Lepisosteus oculatus: one gene and its partner. The protein of the gene in region 1 interacts with the protein of each later gene in a pairwise test. Links are inferred from orthologs where the notes say so. Each region holds a gene or a part of one and is shown in the gene's direction. Other genes may lie near its edges.

Region 1 (10,946 bases):
GCTCCATTATCTAACGCAAGCTGATATCACAGCCATTGTCCTCCCCCTCTCTCCCAGGCTCGCCCTCAGTGGTACACAGGAGTGGCCCGGTAGAGCTGATAGGACTGGCCTGCCACTCTTCTTTATGCTTTCTAGAGCCTTAGATAAGATCACTTTATTAGCCACATTCGAATATTGGCATATTATAAACAAGAATATACTATTTCTTGCATTAGGAATTTGTCTTTTCGCATGCCCCAGCTTGCTCTCCCTGAGACACAGAGAAGCTTGGGGTCAGAGTGCAGGGTCAGCCATTGTACAGCACCCCTGGAACAGTTGGGGTTAAGGGCCTTGCTCAGGGGCCCAGCAGAGTAGGATTCCTCTGCCGGCTGCGGGATTTGAACCGGCAACCTTCGAGCCACAGGCGCAGATCCTTAGCCACAGTGCCACCGTTTTAGCAAAATTAACTTTCCTTCCCCTAGTTTGACTTCTTTTTTTTTTTTGAGGGGACATTGATGAGGGACCTGGAAGGGGATTGCAAGTTTTGCATTTTACCTTTTCATCCTTCACAGGTAACACAACACACCTGAAATGTACGTGTTCTGTAACATTACTTTAATGGGTATCGGACGCAGAATGTTTTTGTTGGTTTAAAACAAAAATACTTATTAAAAGAGACCCTGTTGCCTGTCACGCCTTCCTTCCTTAAAGAGCAGCTCGACTCGGCTCCTCAGGGGCTGCAGTCCAACAGGTTTTGCTGGTGTCTTTAAATCTCCAGTGTCTGAACAACTTCGGTCCAGTGCAGCAAATCGGTTCAATGAGTTGATCAAGTTCTGAAGTGGAAAGAAAAGCAGAAGCCTCCTGGCCCCTCCAGGACTGGCCAGGCTGTTGAGCAATGCCACTCCCCTCATCACAGAGTCCTGGCCAGAGCCGAGACTCACGGGTCAATACCATCAGACTGCGAGAGCCCCGTCTCTTCTCCCTGCCCCTGACTTAAACCTAACATGGGGATTTGTTTTTGTGGTTTTGATAGTGAGCAACATGGAGTTAGATAAAGACAAAAACACAGCGGCAATCAATTTGCTTTTCAGGTTTTTTCCCCCCACTTTCAACTTGTTCTACAATTTGTGGCAGAGCTTTCTTAAACTGAATCCACGCCATGAGTCTTTCCTCTGGCACGGATCAGTAGTAGGTGCTACTAGAGCTCTTATCATCAGGTCATTGCTGATCAGCAGCTGGGCTTTTTAAAGACAGCGCCACTCCTGGGTTATAAAGCAATGCAAGGCAAATTGGGAAGGGCGAGTGGCGCTGGCAAGATACCTGTGTGTCTGGCAGCGTGCCTCCCTCCCCAGGCTGGACAGAGTGCTCGATCTTGTGGACCTGCTCCATCAGCAGATCACAGTACAGCCGCAGCTCGGACATCTTCCCCTTCAAGCTCTGGCTGGCCTCGTTCAGCTCTGCGCAGGGAAGACACTGACTCAGGCTTCACACGCGGCTCAGAGGAGCCCACTGCCTCCTGCTGTGAAGTTGGCGGCCCTCCACACCGCCTCCCTGTATCCCACTGGCACAACCAATACTGCCTCCCCACAGATATCTTTTCTCCTCCCAGAGACGAAGCCGTCCCCCCACGCGGCTTCCCACAAGCTCATCAGCTCCGATCGGAGGCCTCACTCCTGGCCTGGCACCTCTGATAATGAGCCATTGCGGATTAGGCACCGGACACCAGTGCACACTAGTGTACAGTATGTAAGGAAGCACATTTAAAACCAAGAGCAGGAGGTTTTCCTTTGCACAGCAGGCCAAAAGCTGGCCAGCCACACTGACAAGGACATACCCTGGCTCTTTATTCAAGAGACAGCTGGATGAGATCCCTGGGGAAATGTTCCGAATGGGAAAGGTATGCAGCTGAGCTAGATGGGGCAAATGGCCTCTCTGACTATTCTTCTGACCCATCTCAGCTCTGTGTGCCCCATCACAAAGCATCCCATCGCCTAACTCAGTCCACAATACAGGATTTTGGTATTTCCAGCCCATTGACTGGTTAATTTACCCAAGTGCAGAAGGTCGCTGTAATAATTACGGAGGAGCTGAGACACAGACTTGCGCTGGAGCTGAAAGGAAGAGTGCAGGTGGCCGAGCTCTGCCCGACTCCCTCGGCTGTGGCGCTCGAATACCCCGGGCTGCGCCACCGGGCTGCGGTTCCCCCGTGACCTTGCCTTTCTCCTTCTTTGTCCGGCTGTCCGCCAGGCAGGCCTTGGCGGTGCCAAGGGCGACCAGCCACCTCTGCCTCTCGCCCGCTGTCAGGGCCCGCAGATAGAAGCACTGCTCCCCGGGGATCACCAGGTCCACCCGCGTGCCGTCCGTCGGGTGCACTGGAGAGAAACACGGGACCCTGGCCTTAAATCGCAGCCACGTCCTGAAGCTATTGGCAGAAACGCTGGCAGAGACCTGCGCCTGACTCCTACATGATCAGCTCTGCTCCTAGAGGGTCGCCGGGGGCAGTTCAGCAGCACTTGCAGGTCTCCTCACCTCAGCAGCGACAGAAGGGTTAAATTCACTTAATAAAGACTCAATTGGTCCATAAGTAAGCCTCCTGCACTAGTGTGAAGCCACTGGCAATGTAAGCCCTCTACAAGATCCCCTTCTTTGCTAACAATCAAGTACACTGAAAACCAGGGAGGGGGCTGGAGGGGGTCGATAAGAAAAAGCCATGCAATATATTGAGCTATCCCTCCAGTTCTATGATCCAATCGCCTTGCTCTTCCTAACTTTCAGAGCATTTTCTGCAAGCATTTTGTTGTAGCCTGAATGTAGCCAGCAGCTCTATCACCCCACAACTGGCAGCCCACTGGAGCTCAGCAGGTTCGAGCCTCTTCAGTACCTGGATGGGAGACCTCCTGGGAAAGCTAAGGTTGCTGCAATAATAATAATAATAATAATAATAATAATAATAATAATAATAATAATAGCTTACACTTATAAAGCACTTTTCTGGACACTCCAGTCAAAGCGCTTTACAGGTAATGGGGACTCCCCTACACCACAACCAATGTGCAGCCCCACCTGGATGATGGGACGGCAGCCATAGTGCGCCAGAACGCTCACCACACATCAGCTGATCAGATGTGTTAGTAAAACCAGTAGAGGGCGAACACCCTACAGTCTATATGGGTCCTAATGCCCCAGTGCAGTGATGGGGAGACTATACTGTAAACTTCATATGAGACATAGATCCAAGGTATGTACACTCTGTGGTCATTAAAAATCCCAGAGCACATCTTGAAAAGAGTAGGGGTTTTACCCCAGTGCCCTGGCCAAAATTTCTCCTTGGCCTTCACCAATCATGGCCTCCCAATAATCCCCATCTCTGAACTGCCTTCATCGCTCTGTTCTCCTCCCCACTGATAGCTGATGTGCAGTGAGAGTACTGACACATCATCCAGGTGGATGCTGAACATTAGTGGTGTCGGAGGGGAGTCCCTATTGCCTAAAAAGCACCTCGAGTGGAGTGTCCAAAAAGCATTCCATAAGCGCAAGGAATTATTATTAAATGAATCAGTAACGCTATGGATATTTCAAGACATTTTCTCTGCTTGTGAACAGCACCATCACCACCAAAGGGCTGCAGGTCTGCACATTACTGTACTGCCGATCAATTCTTATCTGCTGTAGCAGACCCACGTGCTAAAATGCTACCTTTATGGTTTACCTGCAGCCACAGAGGCAAGCAATAAAAAAGCAGCAGTAGGCCACCAGCAGCCAATGCCCTGCCAGTCATATTAAACCCTTTCTTATGAGTCCAGCAAACCACGAAGGAAAGGGAGCTTTGAGAAAGGAATCGTGGGCCCAGCCAGGGGTCACAAGGTCGAGCAGATCCGATCCCCCCCATCTCGAAACAATGCTCTTCCCGCAAGGGAAAGTGGCCCACGGTGTGTCCATCAAGAAGGGTGCGGCAGCGCCACCTACCTTTAATCTCACACACCGCCATCTTGATGCTCCCCTTGCTGCCCTTCCCCACGTCCTCCAGGGAGTCGTAGTAGGACAGGATTGTCCCGTCCAGGACGAAGTAGCGGGGCTGCCACCCTTCACCCCGCAGAGGCAAGAGAGGGAGAAAAGGATTGGGATTGAGAAACGGGGCCAGACTCTGGACCACAGCAGATATTGAACTCGGGATAAAGATCAAAGACATCAGAATTAACATGACATGAGAGAGGTGGGTGGGACACTGATGGAGGCCACTTGTTCTACAGTTACTAGTCCGATGGGTTTTAATAACCGAACCTCCAGCTGAATTATTTTGAACGACTATTAGAAGCAACACGAGAGGAGCTGGGACACACTCCGGCTCTGAAAGCTACCCAGGTCCCGTAGCGTTGTGCCGACGAGACGACCCGCTAGCCGTTCACTACAACCTGGGGAAGCAACTTATTGAGCAGCAGCAACTGTCATGAAGGTCATGATCACTTACAGTTAAGTGGAGGTTGTTTTTTTCCCCGTTCTGCAACACAAACGCGAACCCTTTCCAGTTTAACCAAGTCTAAGTTAAAGCACTGACCAATAACAGTCAACCTTCAAATTTTCCAAGTGTGAAGCAGTAGCTCACCGGCGTACGGATACTGTATCTACTGTACTGAGAAGCTGATATCAAAGAGCTCTTTAAAAACAACAAATCAAGCACTTTTACGCACTAAAAAGGGAGGAAAAAAAACTTAAAAGCGTCATTTTTTAAAAGAAAGCATAAGTAAAACAAATTCAACGCTCGTGTTAGTTTTTTTTTTACATTTAAAACGCTTCGGTTTAACGCAGGAGAGATTAAACTTTTCTTCCCCCTTCACAAACCCGTGACGCATCCAGAAGGAAGCTAGATGAAAAAATTAGGAGATTCCTCTGAAATACAGTGAAGGTGCGACTCAGTGGCTTGGAAATATGACTCGATCGAAGCCTCCATGAAGTGGATGGCCGTTATACGTTATGTTCACGGAAAACAAAAAAACAAAAAGAAGTTCGCCGTTAACTATAACTTTGTTACAGCTGAAGTTAGAATGCGCAGACATTTGAAATAAGCGAAACAAAACCTAAACCAGAAAACGATGTAAAAATATCTAAGAGTTTTAGTACGGCTCACAAGTGCGCACGCACATGAATGTTAAATTCAGTCTGCTACCGAACAGCTATGCTACGTTTACAAAGATGCTTTTGGCCGAATGAACCGACAAAACTTGTTAAGACTGACAGCATCGCCTCAAGACTCGCCTTCACCTGACAGTCTTTCACTAATAAGACAGCACGCTAAGATTTAATACTTTTTCGAGCGGTTTCGAGCTACTTATTAATTAATAATGAATCACCCGATAAGTAGTTTGTCCACTTGTGCAAAACCCCCTCCATAGCCCGGCGACAACGATAAAACCCACCGACCAGTCGGCGACGGAGGAGCGAACCGGTGCGAGCGATACACTGCATTGGCCTGGCTTTGCCCAATCAGAACGGAGTAAACTGGAACAGAAAGCTGCCGATTGGCCGAAACTCATTCACACCACCCCCTCCCGCTACGACGGAGCGACTAGGGTGACTAATAACGTACTAATAAGACCCACCAGCCAATCGCAGCTCAGAGGCGACACGAGTAGGGTTTGCTGGGAATTGTAGTCCTTAGTTATAGCCAGTTCTTGAGATGAGCAGTAACAAACTTTAGTTGGGTGGTTCTTCAAGGGAGAAGACGCTATTGGCACGTACTGATAGTATTAAGTGCTCGCTCGATTCCACCCTCAACCGACACGCTGAGATAATTGCCAATGTACCCAAATACGTTGAACATATGATTTCAGGTTTGGAAACGTGATGCGTGGAGCATGAATTAATACATGCGTCCAAATCTAGAGAGGCTTGCATGCCGCACGGGAATTTTACCTTAGTCCTAAATTACGGATTCGCGCACGTGCTCTGAAATTGACCGTGCACATATGTACAGCATAGCTCCAGATTCCCTTCCGGTTTGCATCTCACTGGCACACGCTATCGCATGTAAACGTTTTGCATTTTTTTTACCCTTGTTGAAAAAAAACTACATTTCCCAGAATGCAGCTGCTCAGGCCCGGATATGGGAGCCGGCTGCTGCGCTCAAGAGCGGTTGTATGTTGCTGCTGAAGAGGCTGTGAATGAAAAACACCGGTTAATTTGTTCAAAGGGGGGTGTCCGGAATCCGAAATTATCACGTTTTCGTTCCGTAAACGGGGAATGAGCGACGAGAAAACCCCGGCTAATTGCAAGAGAAACTCTGGGTGCCCAAGGTAAGCCCCGAGCACTACCGGGGGGCAAGTTGCAGAGAATCGTGCCTTTCGCGTGCGAAAGAATGAACGGTGTGTGGGATTTCCCTGTTAAAATATATTCGTTTAGTATCCACTTATTTCCCCCTTAGCAGAAAACAGGATTCTACAACAAAGGCTTGTTTCGTTTTTAATACGAAATTATGCACTAAATTGTAACGCAAACATGGCTGAGTAACTTGCTTTTATCCGTTACCTTGACGCGGTCGTTTGCTACGCGTTTTGTTACAGTCCCAATAAACATTTGGGTTATGAAATTCTTCGTTCTTTCCTCCGGCTGATATGTCTTTAAAAGGGGTACCGTTACCGGTTTGCTCGCACACATCTTAATAAAACGACCGCGTTTCTCCCTTGAACGCACTTCTTCACAATGTTGAGAATTCGGATGCATTTCTGCTCGAGACCGATAGTCAGCTGCTATTCCGACACCTCGAAATCCTGACCCATCACTCTGTTTCTGCTTTCTTCCCCTGTCGAGTCCTTCTTTTATCTCTCCAGCTACCTCTCCAATATCTATCCGCGGGGGGCAATTTAGGGATGTTGGCCCAGGTGTTCCCAATTCTGGTACTAAGGGATTCACATCCCCGCTGGTTTGTGCGCCATCTGAGCGCATAATTACACGATTGTTCCCTTAATAGGTTTGAATTCAAACTCTTCAATCGTTTTCAGTTCCTAAACATGGAGGACAGGGGTGTCCGGTGCAGGAACCGGAGGGCAGCTTTTGACAATGTAAATAAACACATGGATCAACTCGATCAGTTTAACAGCTTCTCAAGTACCGCTGCATTAAAGAAACCTGGAACAGACACTTGCAGACACTGATGTAGGAGGCTGTCTTTTAACTTGGTTGTAGTTCTTAAGTAACTAGGATCTCCAGTCTTTGAGAAGAAACTTTCAAAGGTTCTGACCAAGCAATTTGTTGATTCAATGAAAGATCTCGGCTGCCATAAAAACATATGTCTGTGGGATCCCAGGAATAGGATTGGGAAGCCCCGTACTAGCATATATCCTAGAAAAAGTAGGCATTATTGGTATTAATTACTTAATTTTAATTAATTACTTCACTGAACATCAGTTGCTTAATTAACCCAGTTGCCGAGGATACAATAGCTGTTTCCTCACTCAATTTGTCAGAGTGTCTACTAGGAGGAATGCCTGTATTGATCTAGTCTTTTCAAACAAGACTTTTTTGTTTCATTCCCCCTCATCAGTATTGAGCAAATGCTGGCTTTGAACCCCGGAAAGACCCCTATCAGTTTGCTGCAGGAGTATGGAACGAGGATAGGGAAGACCCCGGTGTACGATCTGCTCAAGGCTGAGGGACAAGCACACCAGCCCAACTTCACCTTCCGCGTGACCGTGGGTGACATCAGCTGCACAGGTGGGTCGCCGGGCAGGCCGCGAGTCTGCGCCCGGATTTCCCTGGTGCGTTTCGACGGGCGATGTCATCAGTACTGCAGCCCTGTCCTCTGAGAAAACAGGGACTCCGTGATCCACGATCTGTGATCCTAATTTTAAGACAAACTTCAACTTTGAAACTGTAGATTGAGATATAAAAGAGAGCCAGCAGGAACTGGGGGTGAGATTTTGCCTGTGTCTGCCTTTGGGATTTGCCTTTAGCCAGAGGCATTCCAGAAGAACAGCTTATTTAATTTTATCGATATGGATTAAACTTTGCTTTTTTTTCCAGGAGGATTGACTCAATTACTGACTCAATTAAGGAGACCTTCCTGCACAGGCCTGACTTAGCAGGCAATTTTAAAAGATCTTACAAACTAATCAATATAATAACAGTGCTGGTTCCAGCCAAGCTCTTGACTTAGTTGACCTAACACATTGCTTGCAAACTTTTGCACGTTTCTGTATACTAAAAGTTGGCAATCATAACTTATTAATTGAATGCAGCGGTTTAAAGGTCCCCTCTGAAATGTAGTCCTATTAATAGGTAAATTAAGAGTTCAATTACCTGACTTGAGAGATCAGCTGGAACTTGAATCAGCAGCGGTGGGTGTGTCCAGGGCCAGGGCTTGTAGATCCTGATTTAAGGAGAGCTGTGAGAGCTGCTCTTGAAACTCGCCTTGGGAAGTCCTGCTGAAAGCTGTCCTGGGTCTGTGTTGCAGGTCAGGGGCCTAGCAAGAAGGCAGCCAAGCACAAGGCAGCAGAGGCAGCACTCAAACTCCTGAAGGGCGGCACCATGATGGAGATATCAGCTGATGGAATCAGGTGGGTGTGTCCGGTGCCTCTGTTACTCATAATAAAAGTGTCATCTTAGTCTGCAATGTCCACTGTTATCATTTCTTCAGGCAGTGATTTTGCATGCTTTTTATTTCCATAGACTTGGTTTCAGGTAGTGTTTACAAATAGTATACCCTCCTCCAATTAGTCAAGATTCACCTTTTTTATGGTCCCTCTGTCGGCTTCCACCTGTTTACATGAGTTGTACTTGGACCTGGTGCCATTCTTCATAAACATGGAATGGGAGTGAATCCCGAATCTTAAATCTGCCTGAACACCTGCATTTGGACCCAGGACTACTCCTACTCTGGTATAGCAGGGAGTTGACAAAGAGGGTGTTTTTCCGTTTTCCCCTGTAGTTAAAGGCTGAGTAGTTATTTTCGGCTCAGACCTGGGTTGGTGGCCCCCAGCGAAGGGTGCGATCGTGAGCAGTTCGTTGACTTGAACTTGGTGTGTTTCTTCCTATCCCAGCTCCCAGTCTGAGGCAAAGGTCTCCAACTCCGTGCAGCAGGCAGAGTGCAATCCCGTGGGTGCTTTGCAGGTATGCTAAACTGGCTTGGACACCAGTAGAAGGGCTTGCTCTGGCTGGCAGCCTTAAAATGGGATACTACAGGGGAATTTAGAAAGGGAGAATGGGAGGCCTATGGCTACCTGCCTCACCCATGGCAAAGGAAGTCAAAATTCGTTACTGAGCAACTTTCCCATGTGGGATCCCATTCACATTATATAGAGATCTTAGAGCTCCAGGCTGCAGTCTCCTAAGGATAGAGCAGCTTTCTTTGCTAGTGTTTGCCCAACCGAAACAGTGTTGAACAGAGTGTTTTACGGAATTGTTTTCCTTTTGGGTTTCAGGAAGTGAATAATGGAATAAAAATGTTGTATACTTGAGGTATTTTGCTGTGTTCTGGGCTTTGCGATATGCCGTCTGACACGGGGCGCCCTGGAGACGGAAACCAGCCCTGGCGATGCTGTGACTCCTCCATCTTGTTCCTGCTTCCCCCTTCCTGTAGGAGCTGGTGGTCCAGAAGGGGTGGCGGCTGCCGGAGTACACCGTGACGCAGGAATCCGGCCCGGCGCACCGGAAGGAATTCACCATGACCTGCCGGGTGGAGAGGTTTGTGGAGATCGGTAAGAACAACGGGGACCCCCTGCCCCATCCTGCTAACGCCACTGCTCTCTCCTGCTGACCCTGAGCTCATCTACCGATCCACCTACCCACCCACACAGCGGATACTGAACAGCTCTGCCGTGGGGAATTTGTGAAGGCACTGACTCTAACATTTTAAAACATACCTGGCCAATCTGTTGAAGCTATGATGAAAGGGGAACAAATGCTCTTTGTATAATGAATCGGCAGTGATGAGTGCATTTCACACCACAGTGACACTACGATGTACACGGTACCCTGTACGACCTCCAGTCTAGAGTCGGAGTTGCAATGTATATGTAGTGCCATACCGCTGTCATTGTGTGCGATGCAACAAAACGTCCAGTGACCCCCTTACATTGCAAACATGCTTGAGACCTGGCAAATTTTGCTCCTTTATTCATTTTAAATTTAATGAAACACACACACACACACACACAAGGCGACATGCTTTTTAGATACTTTTAAGAATCTAAAAGTATGAACTGAAAATATGTCCCTATTCATTGTTGTTCGCAGCTGTAACGTTGGCGTGTTTTAACACCTCAGAAGTTCAGGGTTCTTTCCCAGATCTGGGGGTGGCAGCTCTCTTTCACTTCTTTGTTCTTGGAGCGGAGGGGGGATCCCTTCTCACGCCTCCTCCCTCTACCGAGTCTGGGGGTTTTCCTTTCGATCTTTAGCCGTGATGTCACAGGGCGTACCAGAACCAGATGAGATTTTCCAGGTCTGTTTTGGCACCCTCTACACCCGCCCTCCTACCCAGACTTAAAAAAAAACCGTGTTCCCGCCGTCCTGGGTAACTTCTCCCTGCGTTCCCAGGCAGCGGCACTTCCAAGAAGCTGGCGAAGCGGAACGCGGCGGCGAAGATGCTGGCACGCATCCACGACGTGCCGGTGGACCAGCGCAACGGCAACGAGGCCGACCCCGAGGACGACCAGTTCTCGCTGGTGAGGAGGAGGAAGGGCGGAGACTTGAGCAGGCTCTGCTGGAAGGGCAGTTCCTCTCGAGCTGTGTCAAAGCCTTGGAGGGTGATGCATTACACACTCGATACAGGACAGCCACTCGTGGCAAGTGGTGCTCACTTATTGTGTAGGTGAAGTCCTCATCTGCGGCACCCAAAGTGTGAAATATCGGTAGCGCACAGCTGTCTCAGGCAGGGACACGCAACCAGCCCAGTGATCAGCTGGTCCAGGGAGGTTAAGATGGAGGAGAAAGAAGCAGCAGAGGCAGCAGGTATGGGTTAGAGTGAGCAGGTAGCC
Region 2 (11,320 bases), on another chromosome or scaffold:
GTACTGACCTTCTTGGACCACAGATCGGACCCTGTGCTCTCTATGAACGGGGAGTGGGACTGCAAGCTGCCCTGTCTCAATCTCTCGATGGTGCAAACCGGCGTCACTGGAAAGATCCCACCACTCCTGGCTCCCTCCCCTTCAGCCCTTTCCCAGACTGGGAGCACAAGCTTCCACCTCGGACACTGAAGTGACCTTTCGGGGACCGCAGGGCTCCAGGTCAAAGGAGGAGGAGGTCCAGAAGCTTGGCTAGGTGTTGGCATTACCGGGAAGCGTTGAGAGAAGATGACACACCCTGACTCCTGGCAACTATGCAACACATCTGGGCTCAGTTTCTTCAGGAGGAGGACAGGAGTTCGACCCAAAGTGCTCTTTCCCGAGCGGAACCCAGGATCTGACTGGCTCTCACTCCTGCGACAGGGCTCATGACGGGAGTTCTCTTTCCTTTTACTTACTGTTTTCTGGGCAGCAAACTCTTCTCGCTCTTCAAACGAGCTGGTCTGGTCGGGATCATCACATCTGCTGCTTTCCTGAAATACCAGAAACGTTAACTCATTAAAACATAAACAAATCGCAGACAGATTTATGTGCATCCTAATACTTTATTTGATTACACTGTTAGAAATTAGTGAAATAAACTGCGTCGCCAATGCCCTCAACTTTACAAAAAATCTAAACTCATGTTTAGAGGGAACATAAAGCACCTGTGAAAACAAAAGCACTACGTACTGTACATAATTTGCAACAGGCTGCTGGAAGTTTTAATTGAATCTACAGCTAAACAAAACTAGTGAATGAGAGTGGCACACGTGCTTGTGATAGTGTCAGGGTAGAGGTATACAGGATTAATAGATCAGACCCTGAATACAGCATAGTGTATTTCCCCTCTGTAGTCTGAAGACTACAATTCCCAGAAGGTGCTGGGGCTCAGAACAGAGTTTATGATTAGAAACACGTTACCTACTAGTAATTCTAGTCGTACTTAAAGGGAAGGGCTGCACTACGAGAGCGAGACTGCGAGAAGTCTTTGCATGAGTACAGACCTACGTATTGGACAAAACCCTCGAGAAAAGGACGTTTCTGTATGGAATTTCCCACCACCCCCCCACACACACACACACATCCAGCAGCATGAAGGAAATCCCTGAGCTTTGGCTTCTCCCCACGCGTCACACTTCCATTCAGCATGCACGGGACAGCTCTTAGAATAAACACATGAAGTACATGTAGACTCTCCACTATTGCCCTCCTCACGGCTTCGTCCTCCTCCTTGTCCCGCTGCTTGGTCCGCCTGGCTTCCTGTTCGCTCATTCGCATGGCCAGGCTCACCATTTCGTCTTCTGTCATCTCTGAAGAACAAGAGCATCTCCATGACTCAAGGGACAGGCCTGTCTCCCCGTTAGGTTGCTAAGCGGCCTAGTACAGGGTTTGGGTAGGAGGAGGGAGGGACAAAGTACGACTCTCAAGGTCATTTTCCATGTCCCACAGAAAGAAAGGCCCCCCTCGCTAACTTTCCTCTTTTGGTGGCACGACTAATTTTTATTGTTTAAAGTACACTGTACCTCCCCTTAGAAGGCAATTAACAATCATAATATCTTCACCGTTAAGAAGTCCGAAACTGTTAATTAATCATGGATATAGTATCGTATTTTCTACATTACTAACCATTACCGTGCCTTCTGTCACAAAAAAATATCATTGAGATGCCTTGTCCAGCAACTCTCCATGAGACACAGACAGGGAGAGAAGCTGGGGGTCAGAGCGCAGGGTCAGTCATTTATAAAGCGCCCCTGGAGCAGTTGGGGTTAAGGGCCTTGCTCAGGGGCCCAACGGAGTAGGATTCCTCTGCCGGCTGCGGGAAACAAACCTGCACAAATCTCAATTGTTAAGGCAACCTTTCAGAATGAAAACAATTAAACAGTTCAAATTAAGGTAAGTTATGGGTCCAACCTACAGGTTCAGGACTGAGAGCACCTGACCTAGACAAAATGACTAAACATCACCCAACACCTTCTGCACACAAGGGGGTCGTGCAGAAGCCTGTCATACGTACATGAAATGCACTGGAGCCCGTGGGGAAGAGCACTACTCCTGCTTTAGGAGGCACTTAATGTGACAGAATAATAATAATAACAATAATAACAACAACAACAACAACAACAACTATTTATAGAGCACATTTCATACAAATAGCAGATCAAAGTGCTTTACAAACCAAGCGTAAAAATAAAATCTTAAAAATAAGAGATATACTTTCAGTTGTAAAGGAAAACAGTAATACAGTAAAGCAACATTAATGTCAATTTATGCTTGAAAATTACATAAATAAAAATTAGGAAAGTCATAATAAAATAAGACCAATAAAAGATAAATAGAAAAGAAAGATAAATAGAAAGAACACTTAATAATTAAAAACCTACCTCGAGCCTGTCCGCTCTGCTGTCGTGCCTGCAGCCTGTCTTCCCTTGACAGGAGAACGTCATGCTGTTTCTGTAGGTAAGGACACAAAGGTGCAGCACATTTCATCACCAAAGCTGCTGTTTCAAACTACAAGAGATCACTGCATCGTAAACATACGAAAAGTGGCAAACGAAAGGAGGCCATCAGGTCCACTTGGCTTGTTCGATGTTTTAATCGATGACTGAATTTAAAATCTTTATCGGGCAATTTGTTGTACACCAGAATTTTGACCTCAACTAACCGACTGTTCCAGACACTCCTTGTATATAAAGGTGCATTTCCCATCCGCCGACCTGAATCAATTTTAGGACAGAGAAAAAGCTTCCAGTTGTGACACCACATTCTTATTTCACTTCCGATCCTGATATAGTCCTCTGCTTTTACTTATTTGAACTTCAGATACTTGATCCAAACCTCCTCTTAATCTCCTTTGCTCTAGAACAGGGGTGGTTAACTAAATTCCTGGAGGATGCAATGTCTTCTGCTTTATTCTTCTTCTCCATCAGAAGCTCACACCCCTGTTCTAGACTCAAGAGATCTACAGTAGTTCCTTTAACCTGTCCATATGTAACAGTCCCAGAAATCAGGATTGGTAAGGGCTGATCTTCTTTGGAACTTATCTAAGAGAAGAATGCACTTTTAGTGGCATGGGGCGGAAAACCCTATACAAGTCGAAAACAGAATGGGGTAAAAAACTAAATAAAGGCATGCAGAGCTCCTATGCGTTTCAGTTCCCGACAACACTTAAAAAATTGCGCCCAGAGCGGACAGCCGGAACTCAACCCGTAGACTCGCTCATCTCGCTCGATTCCTCAGTATCCTCGCCCGAACATGCGTGGGTATAGCCTAGTCACCTGGGTCTTTGGTATGCCCCTTTAGACTTTTTCCTCCCCCCAATAAGAAGGGCAATACTGAATAAAAAAAATAAACTGAAGACGTCTCAAAGCCGCGTCTGCTAGCTATGATGAAACACTTTGAAGGACAAGGACCAGCACAAACCTCGCTTTCTGCGTCAGACACAACAACAAACTCGCCATTGTTTTCAGCGAGATGTCTCTTCTTGGGCACTTGGTCCGCTTCCCTCGCACGAATTCGCCTTTTCTGCGGCATACCGTCAGCATACTACATACAACCCTGGCTTTTACAGTATGGAAACAATAGCCGAATAGGCTGGAATAACGATCTGTGCGGTTCCCACTGAGAGATGAAAACCTCAGTATGGCTGCTCAGCCTTGGTTGCTTGGCGCACTGGTGGGTGCCACTTATTAGTCAGCTCGCAAAATACGAATTATTGCAGTTGCACTGACAGCAGACCTCTTACTGTAAGACGACTCGCAAAGGTCGCCATATTTCCCTCGCTCACGTGATCTCCCAGCCGCAAAGAATGCTGGGTGCATTCTCGTTTGCAACTGTTCAGTAATGCAAACCAAGAGCAGGTGTTAATGTTTACGCTTAAGTAATTTTGGCATGCATAAATATCAACACATTGTATTGATTCACTCAACATATTGAATTAGTTGTTTTGGAGCTCGTTATTCCAGTCTGTAAAAACTCGCTGAAAATCTGAAAGCTATCAAAACAAAATTCAGAACATGATTTCTAAGAATGGTACTAAGCGCTCTCGTTTGCTTTTGTTGTATTTTAAGAAACATTTCTCCGGTTTATGAATACATTGACCGAATATTAACTTGTGATGTGAGGAAATCTAGAACACAACAATGTTTTATTGCTAATTTATTAATATTGAAATTTGGGAGAGTAATCTTATTTGCAATCACAAGGGATAAATCTCATATGTCTTGGGCTTTAAAGGATATGGCGTCTCCAACAAAGATAATCTTCGCCACGAATTACTCCATTTGATGGTTTGTCCATACAAAAGACATTCTTTTTGCTCTTTCGACTTTATTTTGAATACAGGAGTGAGACAGGATACACACTGGGCAAACACACAAACACTCTCAGCAGGGCCAGTTTTACAGAAGTCAGGTGTCCTACCGACTTTAACGGAAGAACTTGGTGGGACACAGACTGCACCACCAGACACGGGAGAGAACTGGGACACCGGGGGGGAGTCCACCATCGTCTTCCTCCCCTCCTACCCTAGAGTGGACTTGGGGAAAATAAGGAACAGCAGGGACAGAAGAGGTAGCTGAAACCTGTAACCCCTGAAAGGCTGCAGAGAGCTCTTCGCTGTGGTGCAGTGAGGCACACCGGGACATCGCTGCTAATCTGGGACACTGGGTTTTGGGTAACCGGCGTCCACGAGGGTTTGTGTGTTCTGTGAGGGTGTGTGGCCCTTGGGGATCCATTTATCATGTGTGTTCTTATGATCAGATAGAAGTTACCACTCTTGACTGTAGGTGTAAGCAGAATAAATACTACGATTATGTTTAAAACAAGTGTGTCTTTGAGCTGTGGGTGGAAACCACAAACAAACTCCATGCAGGTAGCAGTGTCTAAAAAAAATGCGGTTTGGGGAAGCAGCTCCTCATGAACTTTTACCGCAGCACAACAGAACGTGTCCTCACTAGGGGCATCACCGTGCAGTACGGCACTACTACCATGCGTGACAGAGACGCACTACAAAGGGTTGTGGCAACGGCCCAGAGGATTATAGGATGTGATGGGCCATCAATCGGTGAGATCCACACCGCCCGCTGTCGCTGTAAAGCCTGTCCGTCATACAGGATCCCAGCCATAAGCTGGTCTCCCCCCGCGGTACCGCACTGCAAAAGAACTGACCCTTAGACTCAAGAACAGCTTCAACCCTGCTGCAGCGAGCATCATGAACCGCTAACTGTGCATTGTCTCAGAGGATAGGGCACCCCTGCCCTCTGCACTCCTGTCTTGAACTACCATGTATTTGTGTTCACTACCGCCTATTTCTTGTTCTCTACTGTGTATTTATTGTGCTGGTCCGTTTGTTGACTGTACATACCATCACTGTTTGTTACGTACTGTCTACACTGTGTGGTGCTGTACTGTACCCGTCCCGAGAGATCAGTGTGAATAAGAATCCCACTGTTCATGTACATACAGTATGGCAATAAACTCCCCTGCTCTATTCACCCCAGGAATTGAACCCAGTGTCCCATCGCCGCAAACCAACAATACTAACCCCTGTGCCACACCCGAGCCACCGTTAACTATAAATAAAAACCCATACATGATTTCTTTAGAAAAGCACCAATTTAAAAGGAAACACATATTCGTTCATGTGAACGTTTCATAATTCAGTTTAATGCTACAGAAAAGAGTGGAACCAAAATGGGAAATATCAGGTGAGCCTGGCAGATATATTTTGCCCGCTTCATTTTGTGACCGCTGTGTTGTTACCCCCCCAAAAAAACCAAACTATCACGGCTGATATGAAAGACACCGTCTTCTGTAGGACACGGAAGTTTAATTGACATAAAACACGTAAGAATACTGGACAGGCTCACCTGAAGCAGCCTGGACTGGCCAGCTCGAAGGCGCTCAGTACGCCTGGCCAGTACTGGGAGGGGGGTCGCCGAGGAAGAACCAGGTCTGGGTTATAAGCTTTATCCCCCCGTCTGAGGGGGGCTCCTCGCCTCAGAGGTGTCATCCTTAGGACGGGGTGTTAAAATTAAGATCCCCAACTACGTCCTTCGGCTGAACTCATTTCTCATTCCTCCACCACACCATACCAGGCGGGGCTGACTTCAGTAAGGGCTGGAACTGGGTTCCCCCCTTTCTAGAAAGAGTTCTAGGATCTTTTGGGATTAAAAGTACTATGTAAATGGAAGGCATTTTACCCGGGTGCAGTTAACCTGAAGAAAACCAAGCATGTTTATCGGGATGTTTTGTTCAGAATAGTGCACTACACCGGTTTTCTCGTCTTTATTAATTCTTTCATACTTCTTTTCTTAAGAGGAGCTCAAAAAAGTCCCTCGACAATGTATGTAATGATGGATAAGTTTATTACTGTTTGCAAGAGGTCAAAACGCAGTACAGAAGTCAGAACGCACTGGGGGGGGTGAGTTCCGTGCGATTCAAAATATCAAGACGTTATTTGAACAGACCTGTTACACTTAAGGGGATATAAAGAGTCCCCCCCCCACATTTAAACCGGTAGCACACAGCGCCCCCCACCGACCGGAGAGCAGAGACCTCAGGCTGCAGCTCGGCGGCTCTGGGAAACATGGCGGACGGAGAGCGGAACGGGGATTTACCCGCTGTGCCGTCGGGGCTGGAGGAGGGTAAGCGCCTTCACCCGAGGACCCGGAGTCGAGCGGAGTGTCGCAGATATCGGGGGGACTTGTGCGAAGCTGGTTTCCCCTCTAGAGGCGGAGGAGTCGGACACAAGCGGGGAGCTCAGCGGCTGACTGCCTTGGAAATAAGTGCTCCGAGATGGAAGCTGTAAAAAATAAATAAATGCATCATTCGAGGTCGAGGAAGCGAGGCAGAAAACAGTTAATGCTGTCCGCGGAGAGGGTATATAAAGTGTGCACGGAAATTCCCGATCAAATGCCTTCTGCTACCTCCGCAGTCTCGGCGAGATGTTTTACGTTACTGTCAACATGGAAACCGAGCTGCGGGTCTTCACTCTTAAAATGCCTCAGTGGACGCCAATAACATCGCTCCCGGTGAATGAAAACTTTTTTTCGGAGTAAATGCCCTTCCGCCTAGATACTATATGCTCAGCCAGGGCCATTCCGGGAAGCTGCTACGCTCTCCAGAACCCTGTTTTTATCCAGACAGGTTTATAGGTCACCTTCTTAACAAAGGTTGGCTGCACCTCTGTGTTATTAGCGTATTAACTCTAATAAAGGATGAAGGATGAAGAAAGAGATCTTAGATTTGGGTCCCAGATCAATGTCTAAAGTACTCCATTTAACTAATCACCCACTTAACTGATCACAATGAAATCATATCCTTTCTTCACATTTCGGGGTGACCTACATTGGGGATGTCCTGGTCTGTGGCTTGAGACCCCCTGTTCTAGAGATCTAATTAAATATTTCCCATGTTGCAAAAAGGAGGTTTGTGTCATTCCGAAGGTCAAGAGTAGAAATCGTTTTGCTAGATGGGGGTGTTCAGTCTTTGTGACCAAAGTCCTTCCTCTGGCTAATTCTTAATTCATTAATTGACCTTCAGCATCTGGACTAATTAAGCAGTTAAGGGTCCTTTCAGTGCTGCACCTACTGGAAGTTCAAAAGTGCTGTAATGACCTGGAATCAGGGGTCAAGGCTGAGATCCCTGTGCTAGCGACAGATTTTCACTCCTAAATACACCTGAATCTTGCAGCTGTTTGTTGGCAGAAAAAGTCACTCTGCATTAGTTCAGTCCAGTTTTGTTCAGTTCAGTTTATTTGTCATATGCACAAGTGCAATGAAATGCTTATTTGCACCTGTTCTCCAATACAAAGACATTAAAGGAATCGCCAAAAACATAAACACAGAACAGCAGCAGCAGCAACAAGTTAAATAACATACAGCTTAAAAAAAAAAGATGGACAAGCAAGTTTGAGGAAAAAAAACATCAGTGTGCTGATTACTGAGCTCTGCCTAACTCTCGGTAGATAGTCCAGCTACAGTACATTCTAATGTCAGAAATATCAAGTATTGGCACTGCCTGAACTGTGCCTGGATTAATGACATTGCAGAGATTTCTGCATTTGGGATCCAGCTGCTTGTAAGTGCTTTCAGTGGTTTTTTTCTGCTTTATCATGTAATCGACATATTGTGTTGATTTTATTGAACCGTACATCACCCGGGATAAGAGCACCTGCTAGGAAGATAATGTGTGTTGACGGGAATGTATAGTTTCCAGTGTACATTGGATAAAGCTAACTTTTGCTTCAGTGCATGCCCCAGAACTAGTGTTAATAGTGCCCCGTTTGTGTTCTTCAACAGTGAACAAGATGATCAGCGAACACAGTCACCTCTTCTCTGACACGCAGTGCAAAGTGTGCAGCGCCCTTCTCATCTCCGAATCACAAAAGCTTGCCCATTACCAGGTGGGTAGATTACTTGGCTGTTGTTTTCTGTGTTGTGTCTCTGCGCTGCACACTTTGTCCGGACGGCCCCCTCTGGCATGTGGGAGAGCGCAGCCTTGAGACAGACTTAATGCAATACCAGTGTATTTGTGTAGATTGCCATCACATCCTAGCATGCTACATAAACAACACGTAAGCAGGCGGTAAGCTGTACTGTACAAAACACTAACCACGAAGTGGAGCAACTACGGCTGCTGAGGAGGGCAGCTGGTATTTATATGAAGGATATGGATATCTCAACATTTGCAAGGGTTCAGTGTAGAGAACCATTGCAAAGAGCCAAGCCCACCTCTGAACGTTCGCATATTTAAGTCAATTACCATAATGAACAGAAACAACAGTCCAAATTTCAAACGTACAGTAATTAGCTAAAATAAATAACCTGAATCCCTCCTCTGCGTCTGGCCTGCAAATGATCTCTGCCTTCCCAGTTCCATGATTAGCACATCGCACTGTAATGAAAAGGGCAGTAAAACTGTCAGTGGGCCTGTAAAGTCGTCTCCAGACGGTCGTTCCACACACTGCTGACACAGAACCAGGAGCGTTCATTACAGTTTAAAAACCAGGCCACCCTGAGATGTGGATGCTGGATAGGGGGTACTTGGGCAGGGGGCAGAGAGAAGATGGAAAAAAATTGCACAAGTGGATTAAGAAGACTGGTGCAGAAATTTAGATGTCGATCTGGATCTGATGGCAGTTGCAGCACTATATATTATATTATCCCTCTCCTCTTGCAGTCATGCGCTTATTGACAAGTGTTACAGTGCTCTCTCTGATAAAAGGGTGTTCAATACAAAATGTGAGGCAGCACTGTGCTTATTAAATACTCCCGCTGAGCAATGCAGTACATGGTCTAGTATATGGATCATCTCTGCCTCTTTGGTTCTGTAGACCATCTGTGTGGCATTATCAACCGCTCTGTGCATAGCCTTCATCCAGGGACTGGACCAGTGTAAAGGTTCCCAGCTCTGGGAGACATTCAGATCAGGAATTCAGTGCTGTTTTATTCTTCATTCTGGATTGCTGCTGATGTTTAATAGTTAAATGTTGTTGTTTTTTTTCACTTTTACAGAGTAAAAAACATGCAAATAAAGTACGCCGATACATGAGTATCCACCAGGATGAGGAACCATCGTTGAAAAGGTTCAAAGGCCACTCATCTGACAACGTAAGCATGAAGCAGTGTTTCTTTGAAGAGCAGGATAACAACAATAAGTTCATGAGCCCTGATCAGGGGAGCAGGCAGGGGTGGTTTAAAATGGCACATTAAAGTCAAGCTGAATAGTAAGCACCAAAACAGTGGTTCAATCTTAAGCAAATTTTAACCTCACTGAAATAAAATAGTGTCATTGGGGTTTACTTATTTTTGTTGGCCTCCGGTGTTGGAGTACCTCCTGTTTGTGTAATGTGGTGAGTCTCTTGTCCTTGCTGCCATTGTAAATCAGTTAGTTATATGAGTAATTCTGTTACATAACGGATAGCAAGTGAGTTTCTGAATGTTTTTGTTCCAAATGAGTACTCAGATGAACTTTCTTTTTTGCTTCGGAGAGAACGTGAGTGTTTAATCTGTTCCCCATTTCATAACAAGACTGCTCATTTGGCAATACAAGAAGAAATTGTGAGAAGTCTCCTTGCACTAGAGCTGGGAACGCACTGCAGTCATGTGTTTTGCAAGTAAAAATGTTTTCTATGAACAAATTAATCCCCTGGTCCATCCCCTGCACATTTCTACTCAAGGCACCCAGAAATGAAGTAAACGACTACAGTGGAGCCCCCACGAAACAGGGCCGTGGCCGTGTTAGTAGCAGCAGTGCCAGACTCCTCTGTCCCCTGTTGGCAGCGTGGAGCACGGCGAGTCCAGGCTGAGGATCCAGGGACAGCAGGAGAGGCGCCCAATGAAGCGTCAACATTAAAGAAGCAGCCAGGCCAGCTGGCCAGATCGTTTCTACAACCTGGGCTTTCAGCGGGTGGGAGTCATCAACCAACAGGAGCATGAGCGATCTTCCCTGTTCAAGTTAAGGAACGGGGAAGAGACTTTTCCTCAGACAGGCTGCTTTCATCCCATCTTCTCACAGGCTGGGACTTAGGTCAGGGGAGGCTCCTTCGCTCCATTCATTGACTTTAGTGTTTCCTGTTCCTTCCTCAGGCAGGCAGCAACGGGGTGGTGGATCGCAACAAGGCGTGCTCCATCTGCAACATGACGTTCTCGTCGCCCGTCATGGCCGAGTCCCACTACCAGGGCAAGGTGCACGCCAAAACCCTGAAGCTGAAGACTCAGGGCTTCCAGGCTGCAGGTAAGACAGCCAGCTCCTGTTGTCTGCCGCCGACAGCCTGAGCTGGTGGGGCGGCCTTGTCTTGTCCCGGAGGGGTCCTGACTCTCCATGGTCATTAGAAATCCCCGGGCGCATCTCGGAAAGAGCAGGGGGTGCTAACCTTGGTGTCCTGGCCAGGTTCCCCCCTGGCTTTCACCCGTCATGGTCAAGGGGAGGTGATGTGATGTAGAGTAGGAAGCGAAAGGCCTGCTCGCGCGTCGCTGTCGGGCTCTGAGGTCTCATCCCCCGGGCTTTTTTGACGGAGGCTACAACTCCTGCACAGCCTCCTCCCCGCCGCCGGCCGGGACCCAGGCCAGGAACCCCCCGGGGGGGCAGAGCGCAGAGGGGACTCAGGGGTCTGCCGAGGGGGACCCCGACCGCTTCTGCGTCATCTGCCACGCCTGCTTCAACAACCCACTCATGGCCAGGCAGCACTACGTGGGCAAGAAGCACAAGAAGCAGACGACCAAGATGAAGTTGCTGCAGACCTACGGCCCCTCCAGCACGCCAGGTGAGCTTCCAGCCT

What was found.
Region 2: the proteins of tarbp2 (region 1) and znf346 interact in binary tests that used the Homo sapiens proteins (3 or more experiments, as listed by UniProt). The two-hybrid records come from large-scale screens. The link is inferred for Lepisosteus oculatus from reciprocal best matches to the Homo sapiens genes TARBP2 and ZNF346.

What each region holds. Positions count from the first base shown.
Region 1 is NC_090696.1:17,890,931-17,901,876, forward strand, and holds the start of tarbp2 (RISC-loading complex subunit tarbp2), read left to right. Parts: upstream 1-6,046; 5' UTR 6,047-6,216; coding exon 6,217-6,269; intron 6,270-6,666; exon of another isoform or gene 6,667-6,765; intron 6,766-7,516; coding exon 7,517-7,686; intron 7,687-8,425; coding exon 8,426-8,528; intron 8,529-9,011; coding exon 9,012-9,081; intron 9,082-9,550; coding exon 9,551-9,668; intron 9,669-10,506; coding exon 10,507-10,634; intron 10,635-10,946. Other genes in the region: pleckstrin homology domain-containing family A member 3-like, read right to left, coding at 1,300-1,436, 2,196-2,351, 3,946-4,062, 5,394-5,442. UniProt on the Homo sapiens protein: Required for formation of the RNA induced silencing complex (RISC). Component of the RISC loading complex (RLC), also known as the micro-RNA (miRNA) loading complex (miRLC), which is composed of DICER1, AGO2 and TARBP2.
Region 2 is NC_090706.1:39,911,727-39,923,046, reverse strand, and holds the start of znf346 (zinc finger protein 346), read left to right. Parts: upstream 1-6,604; 5' UTR 6,605-6,625; coding exon 6,626-6,683; intron 6,684-6,985; exon of another isoform or gene 6,986-7,070; intron 7,071-8,339; coding exon 8,340-8,443; intron 8,444-9,554; coding exon 9,555-9,650; intron 9,651-10,628; coding exon 10,629-10,776; intron 10,777-11,077; coding exon 11,078-11,305; intron 11,306-11,320. Other genes in the region: uimc1 (BRCA1-A complex subunit RAP80), read right to left, coding at 456-530, 1,225-1,349, 2,421-2,490, 3,460-3,570.